Tribolium castaneum: one gene and its partner. The main gene of each other region encodes a partner of the protein of the gene in region 2 in a complex. Links are inferred from orthologs where the notes say so. Each region holds a gene or a part of one and is shown on either strand. Other genes may lie near its edges.

Region 1 (2,563 bases), on a different chromosome or scaffold from region 2:
GGTATTGAATTTAATAATTTGAGTGCCATATATTGAAACGTATTGTGTATTCTTTATTTTGTATAATATTGATTACAGTAACTTTCATGCAAAAAAGATTGATATTTGTGTTGTATTTTTTCATTACACAAACCAATAATTTCTTTATTCCCTTCATTTTCTAATAATCATTGTTTACCTCGTCCTTGATTCCTTTTTTCCTGGCAAGAATGCTCTAAACCTCCACGTGGTTCTTGCTGGACAAATTACTTAGTAAATTGACCAATTAGAGCAATCCATGATTCTAATAAGTATTGTTTTTTACAGCCGTAAAACTATTATGTTAAAACACCTCTTATATTCTTATATTGCAGAGAGCATACGAAATATAGATTTGTCGAAGATGTAACGCAAAGAACAATTTATTTGTTGAATGCATGTATTTTATAGATGGTTTTAGATTTGTACGATTTCACTAGAGATGTGTTCTGTTACTTCATTTTCTGTTGGTAACAAATTCTAGACGTGAATTTTTCTAGATCTGTTACCAACATAAAATACAACTCGCCAAAAGAAAATGTTTGCACCTTGGCCATAAATTAGCCATGACTCAAAACAGCTTTTTAAGCAATTTTGAAAAACCAGGTTTCCAAATTTTCCAAAGTACGTGCTTCTTTTCGGAAATAAACCGAGGTGAGGCACCAACCCCAACAGGCGAAACTCACTAAAATGGCAACTAGAACGGTGTTATGTCAGAAAATAAATTCAATTCCCATAAAAATGAATTGTTTGTGATAATTGACTTATCCGAAATAATCATGACACTAATTAACGATTAATTAAAACCAAAGTGCCAATAATGCGAGTCGTCACACGATACTTGCACTTCTTCAAACTTCCGGACAAAAAACGCGAATATTTCGCTAGAAAACTCGTGGGGTGAGCTAAATATCCAACTGGCTTGCTTTAATTACTTCATTTCAGCTTCTCGACTAGTCAGATGTACAAAGTGGTGGCTGATGTGAAAAATTACAAGAAGTTTGTACCTTTCTGCACCAAATCTGTGATCTTATCTCAAGAACCGTCCGTTTTACGGGCGAACCTAGAAGTGGGCTTCCCCCCGGTTATTGAAAACTACACCTCGGTTGTCTCGTTACGTGAACCTGAACTAGTCAGTGCTGTTTGTAAAGATGGGAGGTTGTTTCACGTCTTGGAGACGACTTGGAAGTTCAGTCCCGGCCTCCGGAGCAACCCCCAGTCTTGCATCATAGATTTCTACATCAATTTTGAGTTTAAATCAGCGCTTTATTCCAAATTAGCGATATTCTTCTTTGACCAGCTGGTGCACCAAATGGAGGATGCGTTCATAAAGGAGGCGCAGAGGCGGTACGGCAAGGAGTCGCTGCCCGTGCACCCCCTTGAGCCAGTGAGGACTTGACCATAGTTTGTTATTGTTTTACAATTTTATTTTAATAAATTATTTTATTCAAATCTGGGGATTTTGATATTGCGTCAGAGTGACAGATGACATAACACCACACCTAACCTCAAATTAAGCAGTTCGAGTTTTATTTACGTAAAAATGGCAGGGTTAATACTCCAGCGTAGTTTATTCCGAAAAATCTTGCCTACGATCAACCGGAGGTTGGTCTCGACGTCGAAGAAAACGAACGAGACCGCCGTAGCCGACGCGGTCAAAACCGAGAAAGTCGAGCACAAAAACTGGGTGTCTTACGGCTTTGATGCAAAGGGCAAAGAGAGCGATAGGACGGCAATGCACTCGATTATGTTCGCTTCTGTTACGCTTTGTCTGGTCTGTGGGGGCTATTTCATGATGTACGCGCCAGACTACAACCTGAAGGATTGGTCCCAAAGAGAGGCTTTCCTGGAGCTGCGCAGGAGGGAGAAGATGGGGCTGCCGCTGGTCGACCCCAATTTAATAGACCCCGCCAAGATACAACTGCCATCAGACGAGGAATTAGGAGATACCGAAATAATTATCTAAGCGATTTTAGACAAGTTCAAGTAAGGGCAAGATTCAACTTGTAAATATTTATACTTAAGTTAAATAAAAAGTACAAAAAAAAACTACTGGCTTTTCTGTTCTCTCCAATGTTACCTACACATCCTACATTATACAAAATCTATTTTAGATTCAACTTTGCGTCTTTTCAAAAATTCTTTTAAAGTTTCATTTACAGTTTTTCTTATTTATTAAAAGATTCCTCTCATATTCTTTACAAAGTCGTTTCTGAATAGAGCTGCTCTTCTTTAGATTATGATTTTATTAAACTGTCTTCATAGTTTCTTTTATAAATTCATTAGTCTTCTTTGAAATTATTTTGAAGACATTACTTATATTCATTTCATCATTTTTCAACAATCTCCAAGTTGCGTTTTCAACATTCTGGTGGGGGTAGTGAGGGTAAAATGAAGCGGCGTTGGTTGGTTTTGTTATTTTGTATATTTAACCAAAAACGTACTTTGGTATACAAGCACTTAAATTAGAACATCATATAATGGCAAAACGTCAAATTATCGTAAAATTACGCAAAGTTCACAAACCTATATAATGCGTGAAACC
Region 2 (4,106 bases):
TTTTTTTCCAATAAATTTTCTTCCAGATAATTGTTCAGCATGCGCACCTTTGCCTTAATTTAACCGACCTGTATCTCTTATAATAACTGAGTTCCCATGGTGGAGCTCAAAAAACAGACACCTGTATATAAAAAATGCAAGTTTTTTCACAACACTTTGATTTAAAGGCTTATTTGACGCAAACATTGTTCCGCAATTGTTACGAAAGTCGGCCTTGGCTCACCTGTTAGATTTTTGTTTTCTCGGTAGGGTATGTGCTGGTGGGTCCGTCCGTCCCTGTATTTTTTCGCTAGCCCAAAGTCGATTATATAAACTAAGTTACCCTTTTTGCCCAAACCCATGAGGAAGTTGTCGGGTTTGATGTCGCGGTGGATGAAGTTCCGCGAGTGGATGAAGTCAGTACGTGATATTAATTGGTCGGCTAGGAGGAGAACTGTTTTCAGGGAGAAACGACGTGAACAAAAATTAAATAAGTCTTCTAAGGATGGTCCGAGGAGCTCCATCACCATGACGTTGTAGTCACCTTCCGAGCCGCACCATTTCATTTGGGGGATCCCCACTGGAACAGAGTGAATTTTGGGACTTTTTGGGGCCTCATACCTACCTCCCCCCTGCATCATTTTGTAAAATTTCGACTCTATGTGGAGCTGCGGGTGCCTCGTTTTGATGCATTCTAGCTTAATTGCGACCTCCTCCCCCGTGGAAATATTGGTACCTGCGAAATGGGCAAAATCGTGGTACTTTGGGTCCTTTGTTTACAGTGGAATTTCGGACGCGCCTCACCTAAATATATGTCCCCGAAGGACCCGGAGCCTATCTTGCGCCCTAGTCTGTACTTATTGCCCACTCTAAGCTCCATTCCACCTCACTTCACACAACAAAAGACATGAAATGCTGTCGTACTTCAGGCGGCCATATTAGCCATAGATATTAGCCAACTATCATAGGAAATTTGACGTAACTAGAAGGCTTAGAAATTCGTTTGTTTATTTTTAGGGAATTTACAGCTAGCGGTTGGGGTGTTTAGAATTTCACAATTATCACAGATTCGTCAAAAACGCAAAACAAGAACGATTAATTTTGCAATTTCGCGTTTCATTATGGCCTTTTGGTGACACACCACACGAAACAACTGAGAAATAGACGGCCAGCTTGCGCCACTGGGCTCATCACAGACGCGACCTTGGACGTCACGTATCACCAAACAATAAACACGGGCCCGAACGTACGTCGGGACTCGATCGGCCGCTCAATTGTCACGTCGCCAACTTCACACCATTCCGTTTTTTAATTACGCACAATTAAAACACAAAACACGAATCGTAATTAATCCGATTGAAATTACAATGACCAGTCGTTAATTCGGCTTAATTAGGGGGAAATTGCCAAATTGTGATTATCCAACTCGTGGCCAACTTCACGCCGTAGTCACCAACTGTCATAGGGTTCAAGCTTAAAATATTTAATTTCGAAAAATAACAATGCCAGAAGTGGAGCCCCGAAATATTGTCGAGAAATTCTTCAATTCCGTTGCCAATGTTCTAGTGACGCCGACGGTTTGGGTTCGGGGTAAGTTGCCCCAACTAACCTCAAACTTGTGGTTGCCCCTTGAGTGAGCAAACGTTCTGGTTTTACCAGGACATGTTCGCGATTTTTAGATAATGTTTTGGTTTAAATAGGCAGTCCAGCTCTGTCTTGGCCCTTTACATTTTGTCCCGGTTATGGTTTTATGAGCGGTTATGGCTCAAAACATTTTTTTAATTAAATCAAAATATGCAGTGAAGATTTTATTTTGCTGAACATTGGGGCTTCTGTGGAACTGTATGCAATGGGTTGACATGGATTTTTTAAAACTGAACATACAATTAACAGTTTTGTGTGTTATGTAATGATCATTGAAATAAACTCTATATCAAACAGGGTGACCCCATGAAATCTCCAGTCTTGTCCAAGTTTGGAAAAAATGCTAAAACAGGTCAATTTTAGTTTAAAGGGGGACCAAATTTTATCCTAGTTTTAACATATTTCTGCAAACCTCTGATTTTTTCGTTTTAGTGATTTTAGTTTAATAAAAACAGGAATAAAAACATGATTTTTGGTCCAAAAACGTGTTTCAATCCTCAGAGCTTGCAAAAATAATATCATTTTCGTCATATTTCTGTGATTTATTGGCTAACTTTTTAAGAAAATTTGCGCAATAATTGAGTTTTTGCTGAATAAACACTTAAAAAAGGTAATTTTTTGATCATTTTCGACCAAATTTGGCGATTTTTTCGTTCTAGTTTAATAAGAACAGGAAGAAAAACTTGTGGTCTAAAAACGTGTTTAAATCTTCAGAACTTGCAAAAATAATGCCATTTTTGACATAATTCTGTGATTTATTGGCTTATTTTTTAAGAAATTTTGTGCAATAATTGAGTTTTTGTTGAATAAACGTTTAGAAAAAGTTAATTTTTGGTCATTTTCGACCAAATTTGGTGATTTTTTTGTTTTAGTTTAATAACAACAGAAAGGATAACTTAATTTTTGGTCTGAAACCTTGTTTAAATCCTTAGAACTTGCAAACATAATGTCATCTTTGTCGTAATTCTGTGATTTATTGGCTTATTTTTTGAAAAATTTTGTGCAATAATTGAGTTTTTGCTGAATAAACGCTGAGAAAAGGTAAATTTTTGGTCATTTTTGACCAAATTTTGTGATTTTTTCGTTTTAGTTTAATAACAACAGAAAGGATAACTTGATTTTTGGTCTAAAACCTTGTTTAAATACAGAACTTGCAAAATTGCAAAAATAATATGATTTTTGTCATAATTCTGCGATTTATTGGCTTACTTTTTAAGAAATTTCGTGCAATAATTGAGTTTTTGTTGAATTAACGTTTAGAAAAGGTAAATTTTTGGTCATTTTCGACCAAATTTAGTAATTTTTTCGTTCTAGTTTAATAAAAATAGAAAGAAAAACATTATTTTCGGTCTAAAAATGTGTTTGAATCCTCAGAACTTGCCATTTTTATCATAATTTGTGATTTATTGGGTTATTTTTTAAGAAATTTTGTGCAATAATTGAGTTTTTGCTGAATAAACGTTTAGAAAAGGTAAATTTTTGGTCATTTTCGACCAAATTTAGTAATTTTTTCGTTCTAGTTTAATACAAATAGGAAGAAAAATATGATTTTCGGTCTAAAAATGTTTTTAAATCCTCAAAACTTGCAAAAATAATGCCATTTTTGTAATAATTATGTGATTTATTGGGTTATTTTTTGAGAAATTTTGTGCAATATTGAGTTTTTGCTGAATAAACGCTGAGAAAAAGTAAATTTTTGGTCATTTTAGACCAAATTTGGTGATTTTTTTCTTTTTAGTTTAATTAAAAAATTAAGAAAAACATGATTTTCGGTCTAAAAATGTGTTTGAATCCTCAAAACTTGCCATTTTTGTCATAATTTGTGATTTATTGGCTTATTTTTTAAGAAATTTTGTGCAATAATTGAGTTTTTGTTGAATAAACGTTTAGAAAAAGTAAATTTTTGGTCATTTTCGACCAAATTTACTAATTTTTTCGTTCTAGTTTAATAAAAATAGGAAGAAAAATATGATTTTTGGTCTAAAAATGTGTTTAAATCCTCAGAACTTGCAAAAGTAATGTCATTTTTGTCATAATTTGTGATTTATTGGCTTATTTTTTTTTTAAATTTTGTGCAATAATTGAGTTTTTGTTGAATAAACGTTTAGAAAAGGTGAATTTTTTGTAATTTTCGACCAAATTTGGCGATTTTTTCGTTCTAGTTTAATAAAAACAAGATAATCTTGATTTTTTGTTTAAAAACGTGTTTACAACAAGAAGGCCATGGCACATAGCACATTTGATTTTTATTTTTTTCAATAATTTTTATTTTAACTTAAGATGCGAATAACTCTGCAGGGGAATTCTTTTTCTAAACATTTTGTATGTAGGACACCCCTTAAAATCACTTGTAGAACACGCTCTTGAAAGGAATGCATTTATTTCGCTAACACCCTGTATAATCACAATTTTTTTAGAAAAGATCGTGGAACCCAACCAGCAGAGCTACCCATGGTACCACCAGAAGTTCCGTCGGGTGCCCA

What was found. Proteins that work in one complex are often made in the same cells at the same time.
Region 1: the proteins of ND-PDSW (region 2) and NP15.6 are in contact, whole or in part, in a cryo-EM structure (PDB 8BA0), measured with the Drosophila melanogaster proteins. The link is inferred for Tribolium castaneum from reciprocal best matches to the Drosophila melanogaster genes ND-PDSW and NP15.6. Residues at the interface, in NP_651972.1 of Drosophila melanogaster: Trp40, His42, Gln43, Phe45, Thr50, Ile51, Asp52, Ala65, Phe69, Arg70, Arg71, Met74, Val75, Glu78, Ile79, Ile82, Leu83, Arg86, Ala112, Asn115, Trp116, Ile118, Lys119, Ala129, Tyr133, Gln136, Lys137, His138, Arg139, Leu140; in NP_650774.1 of Drosophila melanogaster: Gln101, Phe102, Arg103, Trp105, Ala106, Gln107, Arg108, Glu109, Gly110, Phe111, Leu112, Glu113, Leu114, Val125, Ser126, Pro127, Asn128, Tyr129, Val130, Asp131, Pro132, Ser134, Ile135, Thr136, Leu137, Pro138, Leu143, Glu147, Ile148, Ile149.

Annotation. Positions count from the first base shown.
Region 1 is NC_087395.1:21,576,971-21,579,533, reverse strand, and holds NP15.6 (NADH dehydrogenase [ubiquinone] 1 beta subcomplex subunit 11, mitochondrial), read left to right. Parts: upstream 1-1,486; 5' UTR 1,487-1,561; coding exon 1,562-1,984; 3' UTR 1,985-2,063; downstream 2,064-2,563. Other genes in the region: coenzyme Q-binding protein COQ10 homolog B, mitochondrial, read left to right, coding at 839-918, 964-1,417.
Region 2 is NC_087399.1:6,556,850-6,560,955, reverse strand, and holds the start of ND-PDSW (NADH dehydrogenase [ubiquinone] 1 beta subcomplex subunit 10), read left to right. Parts: upstream 1-1,306; 5' UTR 1,307-1,481; coding exon 1,482-1,569; intron 1,570-4,040; coding exon 4,041-4,106. Other genes in the region: dco (casein kinase I), read right to left, coding at 224-715, 784-859.